Linked DNA regions of Saccharomyces cerevisiae S288C. The gene in region 4 interacts genetically with the main gene of each other region. Each region holds a gene or a part of one and is shown on either strand. Other genes may lie near its edges. The genes, in order: MDM1, LDO45, LDO16 and NVJ1.

Region 1 (5,864 bases), on a different chromosome or scaffold from region 4:
CTAAATCTTTCTTCGAAATAGCCTCCGAACGTTCAACCTTACCAGTTTTTGGGTTAATAAAACTCAACTGCTCTTTTTCGTTGCTACTATTGTTGTTGCTATTACTGTTGTTATTCGTGCCAGGTAAAAATGCAGGGTTCTCTTGGTCCTGGCTCCTTACAACCTTAGGCGTTATCTTGGGAGCGATCGGCGTCCTCAAAGATGGATCTAACTCGGCCAATTCCATATCAAGGTCGTCGATATCATTGAAATCGTCAATCTCTTCTAATCTAGGCATTTTGACTTTATGATACTATAGCTTATGGCTTATTTTATTTCTTTTGATTTCGTTAGTTGCTAGCCTGTTGAATATCATTGATATTTTTTTTTTTTTCAGATTACAAAAGCGTGAAAAATAAATACTTCCCAATTGTTTTAAGAAGAAGTACACAATTTTTAAAGCGGCTGAAGAAGTGTACCAATTTATTTGCTATTGTGACAATTACACTTTTTTTTTTAGATTGTTCGGTACTTAGTCAAGTTTTATTTTCAGTCATTACATATTATGTCCAATAAAATTGCATCAAGAGCTTCCAACAGTAAGCTGGCATTTAAATACGGATTCTGTAGCATGGCATGGACCCGGCCAGCAGCTTCATGAGAATCTCTTAGACCAACTACACGACCACAAGTGTCTGCGAAGAGTCTTTGCAAACTGGTTAAAGCGAGTTGTTCCGTCCGTAACCTTTCACCTTCGCTTCTTGTTGCCTCTGCCGTTTCATTTCTTTTTCTTTCGAACAGACCGTTATCACCCCATAGCATATTCTTGAATGTAACTATTGCTTCAAATACTTGATCCTCTGATCTCAATTTTTGAATGCTGACCTTTATATACTTTTCAATAGTGCTCCCAAGAAGCTGTTGTAAAACGGTAATTATAGCCCTTCCTCTTAACCAACCCGCGTTGGCCTTATTTAAAGCAAAGAGCGAAATAAATAAGTCACATATCTGTTTAACAAAAGATTTATTTTGCGAATAAAAAGGATAGCCAGAATCGGTGAAAAAATGTCTTTCATCTTCATAGAAATTCAATTCACCGCCGTCTTCAGAGCTTTGTAAATCAACAACAGAACTGCTATTACTTGTGCTATTACTACTACCAATAGGTTCATGAAGTGGCTCCTCCAGAATATCATCATGCATATATTCCTTGTTCAGTTTGAATGGGGTAGGATCTGTCAAAAATCTTCTGAAAATGTTATCTTCGCATATTTCAGAAATAGATAATAGTTCTCGCAAGTACTTTTCAAGTTTTTGCTTTCGTTCCTCATAAAGCAATGTTTTTGTAACATGATATTTCAATGACATTTTCACTTTTGACGGGAACAAATCTTGCAACTGCCTCATCAGATCCCTAAAATTCTTTTTCAAATATGTATTTAATTCAAAAAATTCATTATATCTCCTTGCCATATCCCAAGAACTTACCTGCCCATTGTTAAAATGATGGATATTGATGATATAATAAGTTATTTCTTTTAGGCCATTACTAGAATTCTCACTGAAGTACGACCTAATGTATATCTTAGTTTTTCTGAACAAACTATTACCATTTTCTTGTACCATATATTGCTGTTTCAACAGTTCCTTCATTTCTAGTTCCTTTAATAGGGTTCTTTGTGACTTTTTTAAAATTTTCAACTGCATTTGATTGTTGGTCAGATCTGCCTTCAAAATCAAATGCCTTAAAAGTTCAAGCTCTTTCTCAATCTGATCAATTGAAATAGTCAAGGATGCTATATTATCCCTAAAGTTGTTTGACCCATAAAATTGGCTAGGATTTAGGCCTGAATTCCCGCTGGAAACACTTACTTTCTCCATATTACGTGGGTGATCCAACTGATCCTCGACAACAGAAATTTCTGAGGTATTATCGTTTTCATCGTCGAAGAGTTTATCTTTGAAAATGTTGTCATTTTCTGAACCAAAGAGCTGAGAATAACGGGGATTTGAGCTTATTCTTGATTTATGCGGCTTGGATCCCGATCCATTCACTATATTATCTAAAGCATCTGTGATGCCGGGGTTTGCGAATATTCTGACAGGATTCATAAAATCAGTCTTCACATTATCTTTTATTATTTTGTTTTGTTCTGGATTGTTAACACCACCGATTCTACTCAGAAAGTGAGCATATATATCAGTCGAAATGATGTGGGACGTTGAAAGCATTTTGAGAAATGAAGGTGTTTTCTTGAAAAGAGGTAAAAATCTATCATCGAGATACTTTATAGCCTCTGTCTGTAGTAGTAAAACGCTTTTCCGAGCTAGGATAAATGTGTCTTCATCGTTGTTGATTTGAAATGAATTTCTGAAAAGTATTATATTTTTCACTAAACCTTCATCCAGCAATTTCATATTTTGCAAGTTATTGTTATGAAAAAACTTTGAAGAAATCTCTTGCAGTTGCATTGTGCTAATTCCTGAATAACCAGAAATTATATCTTCAGATGTAGCATCTTCCAAGGGATTTTTGAATGATTCAATTGTTTGCGAATACTCTAAAAATGTTGAACCCTGTGTTTCAGGAACACTGCCTAAAAATGATTCAAAAAAAGGAAGAAACTCGCTATCGTCTACAATGTCCTTCAATGTGATGGAGGTAAGAAATGAAGCCATTTCCTTCAATACTATTCCATTATCCATATTTAAATCGGGATAATTAGCCTCTCTTGCAAGCTTTTTGCTTGCCGTATCAATTTCCGAGCCAGGGAACGATAACTTTGATTCAATCAAATTTAAGGAAAGCAGTAATCGTTTCTTATACTTCAAATTTTCCTTGGTCAAATGTTCATTTTCTTTCAATTGGTATATTTTGAGGGCCAATGAATACGCAACATATTTGATATCACTTAAATCCAACAAGGAGTCCAACTGGTTGAGATAATGCTCGAATTGTTTTCCAGTATATTCAGCATTAAGCTCCAATTTTTCACTTGAGGGTTCTCCAACATCTTTGTTCGCTACGTCATTCATCACTTTTCTATGATCTTGTAACTCTTTACTCAACATTCTTCTTATCTTGTGAACTTTGTGCTTTTCCTCGAAATAATTTTGTGAAAGGCTTACAATTCTTAAATTCCAACTATCTGGATCAGTAAATTTGAAAATTAATGGAGAAATAATGCACGTAGTGAGAACTTCCGTCATTAATGTGAAAACAAGCAATGAATCTAACTCATCATTATCAAAAAGGTGAGGAAGGAGCCCGATTACAGTTTTCCTTATGGATTTTTCAATTTCTTTCTGAAGAGCATTCGGCTTCAATGATAATGATTTATGTATTTTGTAATTTTTATTAAACTCAACGGCAATTTGTAGATCGATGTTGGCTGATTTATGCCTTTCAAGAGTCAAATCGCTTAGCACAGCTTCTCTGGCATCACAAAAAGTGCTGAAATGTTTGTTAAATATAGGCAACAGCTTCAGAACAATCAAGCTGGCACTATCATTCTTCATCAACTTGTCCTTCACCACTAGGAGCGTTTGTAATAATCTCCACTTTATTACTTTGAGGAACTCTGCGTCACTATTCTTATCGATTTTTGTGAACCAAGGCTGAACAAAATCTTTAATAATTAAATTAACAATACTCTCTAATTCTTTCCCAATTTGCGCGTTCCCATCTTGTATTAAACCCTCGACAGACTTCAATTCTTTATCAACATCCACAGTATTCGAACTTTCCGGTACGATATCAACAAATCTTGGCTGAGGTTTCGGTAAATCAGGCAAGGATTTGAAGAATACGAAGTACGCAAAGATGCAGACATTAAGAAAGAACCCCAGCGAAAAAGTGATTACCGACCATTGTATCATTGATATTAAGTAAAACAAAACTAAAATCAATCGAAACTGTGGAAACTTAGGCATACGATATCATATCAGAAGGCACAAACACGCGCACTTATGGCGCTTTCAAAGCATGAGAGTCTTCGGTTAATTTACTTATCTTATTGTTTACATATTTTTGAAGTTCGTAAGGCGATGAAAAAAAAAAGTACACAATGGATAGAACTGGGATGGAAAAAGCTCATACAGTCGCAGTCCGCAGTATAGCAACAAAGGGCCACCCTTGCACTTGCACTGTTCATTATTATATTATGTAGCTTTACATAACCTGCAAAATAAGTTAAACGTCCTTAAATAGTGAATCTTGTAATGCTTTAATGTCTCTGCTGATACCCTTGACGAACTCCAATCTGCTTGATTCATCCTCCAACTGCTGTTGCTCTTCTAAAGTTGTAGGTATTATTCTTGAATTCAAGTATTTTGGATGTGTTAGAAACTTGCTTAATGCAGCGCTTAACCTTTTTTTATCATGTTCAGAATCTAGACCAATAACCAATTCTACAGCTTCTTGTTGATCATCAGAGTTTTTAGGCTGAATAAACAATTCTTGGTAATTTAGCAAGTTTAGCATTTTTTGCAATAAAACCAATTGATTCGTTTCCTTTATCAACGAACTTGACACTGCTAACTTGTTGTCACCCCAGTTATATATTGTAGATTTTATTTGTTTTCCAAAATATGAAACAAATAGGCACGTCTCAGGTAAAACCTTGATACCGAACTGACTTAATAGTAGTAGAACAATGGATAACAAACCATTGCTCCAAATGTTGTGCAATCTAGGCGAAAATTCAGGTTTTATATCACCTTGCTGTATTGCAACAGATAGTGGACTTTCCAATAGAACGCTATACAATCCACTGTTGATGAGTTTTGCAGCAATTGGCTCAATAGAACACAATTCGGAGATAAAGGTCAGAGTAATTTGCCCAAGAATTGGTTCATCGTTAATCCTTATCAAATGCGCGCTTGAATATAGGTTCAGTATAACTTTCAAAGTTCCTACTTCGTTTAGGGATGATGCTAGAATAACATTGAAGTTTTTAGAGGGATTCACATTGGTGATCTTCTTGAAGAGTGATAATAATAACAATAAATCCTGAGTATTATCCTCCAAGTTGACAATTTGGGTGGTGTGATCGGTGCTTAAACCCCTCGTGGAGCATTTATTGATCTGACATAATATCTCAGACAGTATCAAATAAACACCCTTACTAAACACTAATTCAAAAAATTCCAGTAGTTGATCAGATATTAATTCGATAAAACGATCTCCTGACGAGACTAACTCGAGAAGAACTAAGACAGATCTCAAAAGAGGTCTATAAAAGTTATTTTTTAGTGACTTACCAATATTTTTAATAAAGTCAATCTCACCAGATTTGAAAATTGTAAAAATCTTGTTCATCAATTCAATTATCTTTTCTTCCTTCAACAATTTTCCCGACAACTTGAACGAATATAAAATGTAAAACGACAACTCAATTCTTTCCAGATATATTTGGGTAAACATTTGTTTATCTGAACCAAAATCAATATTTAACTTGAGGAAATGCTCTACCAAGTCGACAAAACCATCATTTAACGGAACAGTGCTCCTCTTCACAAACGTGGTGATTAGTGCGCCCCATGCTTTTGCGGTAGATATTTCGTAATTGACATACTGCAAATTTAATGAAGCGTCTGTTATTTCCTCCTTAAAATTTGTCTGACTCTTACTTGGTTCGTTCCAACTACGGTCAGCTTTTAAAACTATATCTAATAACGGAATATCATAACCGAAATTCTCATTTTCGTTTATTCTGGATAATGGAATTTTTTGGAACGACTGAAGCTCTAAACTGGGCCATTTCTCTTTAAATTTTAAGTTTAATTCATCATGAAAAGTTTTATTGAACCCATCAATTTGGAAGAAATGATGAACTAATTCAAACAAGTCTTCCTGATTCAAAAAATTTAAAATTTCCGAGTTT
Region 2 (4,066 bases), on a different chromosome or scaffold from region 4:
TACCTCGAAGGGGAGGGGTATGTGTTTTTTCCCCTCGTGGTTAAAGTGACTCTCTATTAACGTAATGAAAAGTCTAAATATTATAATGACTTGCACTTCGTATCAAGATATGCGAGAGATCATAATAAACGAAATAATATCCACAGTTTGGGTTTCATATTCTTATATATATATACGTGCGTATATGCATATATGTATGTTTACTATACATCAACATCAGCATCAAAATTAACATTAATTAGCTTCTTGCATGTGCTCTTTAGCTTCGGCGGCCTTCTCCACGTCGTATTTGAAATCAAAGTAAGATTTTTCGAAATGGTGTAGACGTATGAACCCATCTTCACCACCGGAGGCATAACTTGTGCCCTGTGGGCTAATGGCAACTGTGTTCAAGGGACCAAAATGGCCTTGTACTCTGCCGATTTCTTCTTCGAAGATCTTGTGGTAGAACCTAGCTTCAAACTTACCTTCGTTGGCACTGGTGGTGGTGACATCCTTGGCCTCTTGACCACCACCAAGAATAATGAATTCCTTCAATGGGGTGATTACGGCGGTGTTTAGAGGACAGTCTGTTTCGTATTTCTTAAGAACTTGTAGAGTCGATACATCGACCAAGAACGAGTTAGTATCTCTGGATGATGTAATAAAGTATGTTAAATCAGGAGAAAATTGCATGTCACTGATGGACTTTTCGTGCAAATCGATGGAATCCACGTATTCGTAGTTGTTGGACACATCGTATTTGCTGATCTTACCGTCTTTATGGCCTGCAATGATGTATTTGCCCTTAGTCGACCATCCAGCCACGGTGGCAGCGTCTAAACCTTCATGAGTGATAATTTTATGGATTGGCTCTTCGGAGACCTTTGTTAATTCGTGAGTGGCGGAATCTCTTTCAATTTCGTATATGTTAATGGAACCTGGATTTTTCATGACGTTGTCCAAGATAGCTAGAAAGTAGTTACCGCATGGGGAAAATTCAACTCTTTTAACGGGGACAGGCGATTTCCATGTAGCAACACATTGCCCGTTTGACACATCCCATAATTTGATACTGTAATCAGCACTTCCTGTAACACAGTACTTGGTGAAACAGTCGACGTCGATAGACCAAATGGTACCGGTGTGACCATCCAAAGTACCTAATCTTTCACCGTTCAACGAATACCAAACACTGGCCGAGCTATCTTTCGAACATGAAAATAGTAAATCACCTTCTTTGTTGTACTTCACTTGAGTTAATGGACGTTCATGACCTGTTAATTTGATAGCCTTCATATTCCTTGTCTGTGCTATTTCTTTTTGTCTTCTCTCCTGGCCAGTTATCTAACGACCTTAAGATATACCTCGCCTCTTGTTCATCAGTAACTCTTCTGCAAATTTTTCTGTTCAGTTACGACTATTCGAAATTTTTCAGAGGCCGGAAAAAATTTCACAAAAAAAAAAAAATATGCGAAACTGAAGGTGGCACGCGGGGTAACTGATATATTTCATACGAACAGCGGCTATACAGAAACCCCACTATATTTACAAAGAAATATGCTCTGGAATCTACCTACAAGTGCGTGTTAATGAGCTTGAGTCTATAACCATAGTTGTGATGAAAAAGTACTTCTTGCGCGAAAATTCAGAGGATAAGACAACACAACAGAGACCCGCTGAATAAGGTTTCTCATCTCAATCAATTACACCGTAGTGTAGGGTTTTATCAGCTCAAGCGAGTTTTTCAACCCTTCCACAATCTTCTCTTTATTAATAAATATGTTGGAGATATCTCCTGTATGGGTAATATGTATATATGTAAAAAAAAAAAAAGAAAAACAAAAGAACCAAGATCGGGCTACGATGGATAAAAAAAAAAGAAAATCTGACTACTCACAAAACTGGTATTCATCTGTACTTTCAAGACGATTAAAATAAAAAGTGACATCTGAAAAACATCCAATACTCCGATGGCAGCCAGGAATCGTAGAAAGAATAACAAGAAAAAGTCCCTTTTGGTAACGAGTGCCGCTCAAGAAAAGAATGCGACGTATGTGCTCGTTGCAGAGGAATTACATAAAAAAACAATCGATCTAAACATGGGTACTGAAACACCTTTAACGGAAAACCACGAGAATCCTATACCAGCGAAAGAATTCAAGCACCAGCAAAAATTAGAGCCAATAGACGAACATGATGATGGCGAAGACGAATTATCGATAAAATTTAAGTCCATGACAAAAAGCTCGGGGCCTATTACTGAGGCTGAAGTTCAAAAGCTGCTCCTAAGCTATGCCTTCACAAGTGCTGCAATACAGGAGGACGAAAACGAGAAAGAATCGCGTCACTATCCTATTAAACCGCCTTCGCCATCAGCTTCTTCTTTGTCCGCCTATTTTCAATCCTTCGTTGAAAAATGCAAACAGGTTTTCTACAACTTCAGTCTGCAAACAGTAGAAAAATTAAATGCTCTACAAAATAGCTTGTACGAAGTATTTTGGATTATTTTTATTTATTTAAACTACTGGTTCCCCAATGTGGGTGACTATGTGAGGTATGTCTGTCGTAGCTTCTCGCGCCATAACGAAATTGCCCAATTACTAACACGTATTTTTACTTACAATATCAACCACCTCCACTAATGAACAGGCACAGTATAGAAAAAAAATCAGATCTGCATTTAAAAGGCTGTCTTTTCCAATGATCCTCGACCTTAGCGCGGCTAATCAATTCTACTCACTTTTTTGTTCGCTTTTTTTTTTTTGACCCGTTGAACCAAGCGGGTTAATTATTTTTTAAGGATAAAGGCTACCACAATCATGAGAGAGACACCATGTACTTGCAGGATTCTGATATTTTTTCTATGCTTGTTTGCTGACATGCAGATTCGGAGCTGGTTTTGATATTTCATAATCACCTATTTTTGAAGCAATACTTTTGGACAACAAGATAGCATTATTATTAGGATTTCCCTATCAAAGAGTCATTTCCGTGCACTTCGTGAAAAATCCAGTCAGAAAGTTCAGCAAGCAGTCAAGAATATCTACTTTTGTTTCCAAGAAAAGCCTTACCTGACAGCGTTCAAAGTCTCCTTTGCCATTGGACTTGTTATTCCGTGTTCCCTACTTTTTTTGATAATGGTTTCTACCGCTACATTTTTCTTTTTTGTTTACTTAACCCTTTTCGTAGTGATAGGTTTCTTCTCCTCATTATTCATAATACCCTTATTGGGCATTTCCTTTGTGTTTGCCATTGGCGTGGTATCATTTGGCTTCTGCAGCAACATGAGTTTCAAAATGGCCCAACTCATTTATGTCCGAGCTGACGCCTTCTTGAAAAAAGTCCTCGACAAAATGGCCCTACAAACACAGCCGGCACAACTACAGGAACCACAGGAGCCACTTTCCACATTAAGGCCAGTATCTAATCCAACTATTCCAAGCCCATTAAGACAAACGGCGCGCCCTTCTAAATTCGTCACCGAAGAAGATGTTATTTTCGAACCTGTTAGTGCTCAAAGCGCCATTGCCCGTTCATTAGAGACTACTGCTAATAAAGCGGGTAATAAGTTCCAGCTCTCTTAACCTCGGCAATAAAAAAACATTTTTCGCAAGTTTAGCAGGTCAATAATAATAATATCCTTATAAATTACACTCAGTTTTTTATTACATATGGGCCTTTAGTATATACATACGCATATATCTTAGCTTTACCGATCTTCTAATATTGCGGCCTATAACGCATAGACCATAAAAGAAACGGAGCAGATGCAATTCTTCAAAACACTTGCGGCCTTGGTGTCGTGCATATCGTTCGTCCTCGCTTACGTGGCACAAGATGTTCATGTATCATTCCCCTCCACCGCAGGAAAGTCTAGGGTAATGATCGGTAAAGTTGAACCCAGAATAGGAATCGATGAAACTGTTCCGACTACAATCACAGTTGAAGACCCTAACGAGGTGATTCAAGTAAATTTCGCCATTGAGTCTACCAACAAACCCTTCCAGAACACCTTATTGATAGGCTTACCTAATAAGAACCTAGAAATGGCTTTTGAACCCGAAATTAAGGACAATGGCAAGTT
Region 3 (2,509 bases), on a different chromosome or scaffold from region 4:
ACAAGTGCGTGTTAATGAGCTTGAGTCTATAACCATAGTTGTGATGAAAAAGTACTTCTTGCGCGAAAATTCAGAGGATAAGACAACACAACAGAGACCCGCTGAATAAGGTTTCTCATCTCAATCAATTACACCGTAGTGTAGGGTTTTATCAGCTCAAGCGAGTTTTTCAACCCTTCCACAATCTTCTCTTTATTAATAAATATGTTGGAGATATCTCCTGTATGGGTAATATGTATATATGTAAAAAAAAAAAAAGAAAAACAAAAGAACCAAGATCGGGCTACGATGGATAAAAAAAAAAGAAAATCTGACTACTCACAAAACTGGTATTCATCTGTACTTTCAAGACGATTAAAATAAAAAGTGACATCTGAAAAACATCCAATACTCCGATGGCAGCCAGGAATCGTAGAAAGAATAACAAGAAAAAGTCCCTTTTGGTAACGAGTGCCGCTCAAGAAAAGAATGCGACGTATGTGCTCGTTGCAGAGGAATTACATAAAAAAACAATCGATCTAAACATGGGTACTGAAACACCTTTAACGGAAAACCACGAGAATCCTATACCAGCGAAAGAATTCAAGCACCAGCAAAAATTAGAGCCAATAGACGAACATGATGATGGCGAAGACGAATTATCGATAAAATTTAAGTCCATGACAAAAAGCTCGGGGCCTATTACTGAGGCTGAAGTTCAAAAGCTGCTCCTAAGCTATGCCTTCACAAGTGCTGCAATACAGGAGGACGAAAACGAGAAAGAATCGCGTCACTATCCTATTAAACCGCCTTCGCCATCAGCTTCTTCTTTGTCCGCCTATTTTCAATCCTTCGTTGAAAAATGCAAACAGGTTTTCTACAACTTCAGTCTGCAAACAGTAGAAAAATTAAATGCTCTACAAAATAGCTTGTACGAAGTATTTTGGATTATTTTTATTTATTTAAACTACTGGTTCCCCAATGTGGGTGACTATGTGAGGTATGTCTGTCGTAGCTTCTCGCGCCATAACGAAATTGCCCAATTACTAACACGTATTTTTACTTACAATATCAACCACCTCCACTAATGAACAGGCACAGTATAGAAAAAAAATCAGATCTGCATTTAAAAGGCTGTCTTTTCCAATGATCCTCGACCTTAGCGCGGCTAATCAATTCTACTCACTTTTTTGTTCGCTTTTTTTTTTTTGACCCGTTGAACCAAGCGGGTTAATTATTTTTTAAGGATAAAGGCTACCACAATCATGAGAGAGACACCATGTACTTGCAGGATTCTGATATTTTTTCTATGCTTGTTTGCTGACATGCAGATTCGGAGCTGGTTTTGATATTTCATAATCACCTATTTTTGAAGCAATACTTTTGGACAACAAGATAGCATTATTATTAGGATTTCCCTATCAAAGAGTCATTTCCGTGCACTTCGTGAAAAATCCAGTCAGAAAGTTCAGCAAGCAGTCAAGAATATCTACTTTTGTTTCCAAGAAAAGCCTTACCTGACAGCGTTCAAAGTCTCCTTTGCCATTGGACTTGTTATTCCGTGTTCCCTACTTTTTTTGATAATGGTTTCTACCGCTACATTTTTCTTTTTTGTTTACTTAACCCTTTTCGTAGTGATAGGTTTCTTCTCCTCATTATTCATAATACCCTTATTGGGCATTTCCTTTGTGTTTGCCATTGGCGTGGTATCATTTGGCTTCTGCAGCAACATGAGTTTCAAAATGGCCCAACTCATTTATGTCCGAGCTGACGCCTTCTTGAAAAAAGTCCTCGACAAAATGGCCCTACAAACACAGCCGGCACAACTACAGGAACCACAGGAGCCACTTTCCACATTAAGGCCAGTATCTAATCCAACTATTCCAAGCCCATTAAGACAAACGGCGCGCCCTTCTAAATTCGTCACCGAAGAAGATGTTATTTTCGAACCTGTTAGTGCTCAAAGCGCCATTGCCCGTTCATTAGAGACTACTGCTAATAAAGCGGGTAATAAGTTCCAGCTCTCTTAACCTCGGCAATAAAAAAACATTTTTCGCAAGTTTAGCAGGTCAATAATAATAATATCCTTATAAATTACACTCAGTTTTTTATTACATATGGGCCTTTAGTATATACATACGCATATATCTTAGCTTTACCGATCTTCTAATATTGCGGCCTATAACGCATAGACCATAAAAGAAACGGAGCAGATGCAATTCTTCAAAACACTTGCGGCCTTGGTGTCGTGCATATCGTTCGTCCTCGCTTACGTGGCACAAGATGTTCATGTATCATTCCCCTCCACCGCAGGAAAGTCTAGGGTAATGATCGGTAAAGTTGAACCCAGAATAGGAATCGATGAAACTGTTCCGACTACAATCACAGTTGAAGACCCTAACGAGGTGATTCAAGTAAATTTCGCCATTGAGTCTACCAACAAACCCTTCCAGAACACCTTATTGATAGGCTTACCTAATAAGAACCTAGAAATGGCTTTTGAACCCGAAATTAAGGACAATGGCAAGTT
Region 4 (3,338 bases):
CAGACTCGTCTGTGTCTGCTCCCAAAATCTCTTTTTTATTCTTGATGATATTAACTATATCCTTACCATTAGAAGAGTAAACAACAATTCTTCCGTCAGGAAATCCGTTAACGAAAAAGTTTTCACATCTTTGCTCACTTGATTCACCAGTTCCTTCATCTTCATCTAATTTTCTTTTGATATTGGATGACTGCGTATCTATCAAATCACTACACCACCCAAAGAAGATTACATCTGAAACCTTCATATCGTTTGTCTCATAGTCAATATGACTCACTAATGAACTATTGACCACATAATCCTTAGTTTCATTTAATGGATAAATATCCACATTGTTCTTTTGTGCGACGCTTGCTTGGAATGCAAAACGAGTGGAATCATGCGAGAAGCTCGCCACCAAATCCAAAGAGGAGCCCATTGTGCACTACGGTATGTATATACGTGGAGAATGCCCGGCGTTATATATTGCAACGGAGTACTAATATGTATTTCAACTACATAAAGTTACTTGAAAACTCCATCTCATCGTTAAATTTTTCAAAATTTTTCATGTTTTCTTCTCACCTTTAGAAGAAAAAAATTTTCGCACCTCGTTGTAAGTGACGATGATAACCGAGATGACGGAAATATAGTACATTAGTATCTAAATGGTTGAGAGTATGCTTGTTCAGTGTTCACTTGTGCATCTAGATTACTAGATTTTGTGGGAGATACTTGTATATGCAACAATGATGAAGGCTGGTTTAACGACTTAAGGTCTATCGAGCCCTTGAATGATATGGGGAATGATGTACTTGATTTAAGGGAAGAGGTTGTTCTGGTATCCCGTGAGAGAGAGTCAGGCTCTGCAGTACTTTCCTTTCGGCATTTACTCTGCGACTCAACTTCTGAACTGGAGCTGCAATCCTTTTCCCGGTTATTATCATCCTCACCGTCTGCTTCTCCATTCGGTTCATTTTTGTCTTCTTCCAATTGCTTTTCCAGGTGACAACCTAACAAATCTTCACTCCCTACTTGGTTTAGTGCATTTTCGCTCTTGCTTGTCAAATGGCTGTTACTGTGTTCCTCTTTGGAGGTAAACTCATGTTCCCCTTCCAAAACGTTCATGTCCTTATAGCTTAATATAATAGGTTCGGATCTATTTTTACCAAATTGCAATACTGCTCTTTCACCATCGTTGTAATGCTTCAGCCTCCTTTCGTTTTCAATAAGATCTACATTACAATCGTTATCCTTATCTTCTAGCGTGGTCTCGCGATCACCGTCCAGTACAGTCCACGCGATAGGTAGTAGAAAGGATAGGAGTAGTATAAGAACGTATATTCGTGTGTCCAATTCGCTGGATTGTCTGGAAATGAAATTAAATACTTTACGCCAGCTCAGTTCACCAGCGTCGGGTTGTTCCGCAGTTAAAGCCTCACGCTTATTATCTACCAAGTTTTTCAACCTATCTATAGTGAAAATTAACTCATAGTCCACTTTCTGGGGCTCTATCCATCCCTGTCTTTCCAAATGCTTACGAACTGTTTTTTCAACACCTTTCAAAACGGCTACAGAAAGACCTAACGAAAAGATTCCACGAACCAATGGGGGACGAGTCATGCTTATTATATTTTACAATTATATTTGTAGCTTTTTTGATATTATGCACACACGCAAACGCAACAGTTGTTGGTTCCAATTTTTGTTTGGTTTAATTCCTTCTCTTCCCACACACTCTCTCACTCACAAAAATCTGGACAGAAGAAGCCTCACCTTTTTGTTTTGCAGCTCCTCTTCCCCTTCTCTCCTTCATAAGGGGGTGGGTCCTGATATTTTTCGTCTATTTTTTTTCAAATAGGATTTTCCGCAGTGTAGAAAGAAGAAAGATGCGTCACAAATTAGATAAACTGATAGAAAGAACGATGCTATGTAAATGCATATGTACAGAAAGTGACAGGAGTAGGTATTCCTCACGCGATAGCACCGAGACTCATCAAAATCACCTGGAGTATAAGTTGCAGTGACCAAAAGCCCACCCTTCTCAAGCGTAATGTCCTCTTTTCATCGTCAGCGACGTAGTCGGCGAAGGCATCGTACGCTTCCGCACTTAGATCCCGCATAAGGTATGAATCATATATGGTCCAGGAGCCCTCAAAATCAGACTTTTTCTTTACAATGCGGCATTTGATTGGGATGTATGTCCTGTGAGAATTGATGTACCCGACAATAGGCCTTATCAATGCACTATTGATATACGTTAAGCCAGAAGTGAACAGAGGGACTTCGGCTTTGACATTGTATAGTCTTAAAGAAAAGTCCATAATAAAGTAGTCGTTCGGGTCAATTTCATCAACGGCCGGGGAGAATCCTGGCCCAACCAGAGGAAGGGATGAAGTGTACCTTTTCGCTTTTTTGATTAAGCGGTCACCGATCTCTGTGAGGATTTCTGTCAGTTGCAGCGAGTCAGACGCGGCATCGTCATCTGGTAAAAGAACGTCGCCAATCATGTTCACGCGACCTTCGTTGATCCATCCAAAGGGTCCTTCGATACCGGCGTTCAGGTGATCGATGTCGAGATTGTCTACCCTAAACCTTGTCATTTGCTTCCATAGCAGCGTGGGGTCCTGATGCTGATCATCGGTTCTGAACTTCTTGTGGATAGTGAACATTGAATTGTCGTAGGTCCCATTGATATTGTTCGCATTCAAGATATCGTAGAACAACCAATGTTTTCTCAATTGCGGTAGATCGCAATTAAATATACTCACCTGGAATGGCCTGAACCCATTTGGCTGGTACAGTGTACAAAGGACATCGTTCATGGTGAATTTTGATATTTCAAAGTCGCCCGGCTGGTAGACGTTCAGATAGTTCTTAGGATCGTCGTCCTTTTTCCACACCACGTGTGTTCTGTCTATGACTCCTCTAAGCCCATTTATGGTCACTTCGTCTAGGATACCCTTCCCATTTATCCACTTTCTGAAATTCAACGATATGTCGACTTGGTCAATGGTCAGATCAAACTGTGTATAATTGCCATTATCAAAGTCCTGTTGGTTAACCAATATTCTCTCACTAAGGGCCAACTTCGCCCTTTGCAGGGCATCCTGCTGTGAACCCTTGGTAAAGCCGCGCGAGACCTTTGGTCTCCTGGAGACGAAGACTTTTTGAAAGCTGATTTTCCCAGACGACCAGTCTGGTACAATGGCACTCTCGAAAACGATTGACAACGACTCATTCTTAGTAATAAATTTACCAATCTTGCTTGCGAGGTATTCTTGTGCAAACACGGTATTGATTAAGTAAAGGATCAAAGATACAAAGGTGGTTGTCCAGAAGATGAATATGAAAATGTT

What was found.
Region 1: of NVJ1 (region 4) and MDM1, changing one enhances a phenotype caused by changing the other (phenotypic enhancement), as found in Saccharomyces cerevisiae (one study listed by BioGRID).
Region 2: of NVJ1 (region 4) and LDO45, extra expression of one rescues a mutant of the other (dosage rescue), as found in Saccharomyces cerevisiae (one study listed by BioGRID).
Region 3: of NVJ1 (region 4) and LDO16, extra expression of one rescues a mutant of the other (dosage rescue), as found in Saccharomyces cerevisiae (one study listed by BioGRID).

Annotation. Positions count from the first base shown.
Region 1 is NC_001145.3:58,411-64,274, forward strand, and holds MDM1 (Mdm1p), read right to left. Parts: upstream 3,913-5,864; coding exon 529-3,912; downstream 1-528. Other genes in the region: RNA-binding signal recognition particle subunit SEC65, read right to left, coding at 1-277; NUP188 (Nup188p), read right to left, coding at 4,172-5,864. UniProt on the Saccharomyces cerevisiae protein: Essential for mitotic growth. Mediates organelle inheritance.
Region 2 is NC_001145.3:557,247-561,312, forward strand, and holds LDO45 (Ldo45p), read left to right. Parts: upstream 1-1,952; coding exon 1,953-2,534; intron 2,535-2,909; coding exon 2,910-3,566; downstream 3,567-4,066. Other genes in the region: TIF34 (translation initiation factor eIF3 subunit i), read right to left, coding at 235-1,278; LDO16 (Ldo16p), read left to right, coding at 3,120-3,566; SWP1 (dolichyl-diphosphooligosaccharide-protein glycotransferase), read left to right, coding at 3,750-4,066. UniProt on the Saccharomyces cerevisiae protein: Involved in lipid droplet (LD) organization. Modulates triglyceride (TAG) storage by reducing DGA1 LD localization. Promotes LD targeting of some proteins, including PDR16.
Region 3 is NC_001145.3:558,804-561,312, forward strand, and holds LDO16 (Ldo16p), read left to right. Parts: upstream 1-1,562; coding exon 1,563-2,009; downstream 2,010-2,509. Other genes in the region: LDO45 (Ldo45p), read left to right, coding at 396-977, 1,353-2,009; SWP1 (dolichyl-diphosphooligosaccharide-protein glycotransferase), read left to right, coding at 2,193-2,509. UniProt on the Saccharomyces cerevisiae protein: Involved in lipid droplet (LD) organization. Functions primarily upon nutrient depletion, facilitating LD consumption by lipophagy.
Region 4 is NC_001140.6:489,011-492,348, reverse strand, and holds NVJ1 (Nvj1p), read right to left. Parts: upstream 1,603-3,338; coding exon 637-1,602; downstream 1-636. Other genes in the region: UTP9 (Utp9p), read right to left, coding at 1-418; MDM31 (Mdm31p), read right to left, coding at 1,953-3,338. UniProt on the Saccharomyces cerevisiae protein: Involved in the formation of nucleus-vacuole junctions (NVJs) during piecemeal microautophagy of the nucleus (PMN). NVJs are interorganelle interfaces mediated by NVJ1 in the nuclear envelope and VAC8 on the vacuole membrane.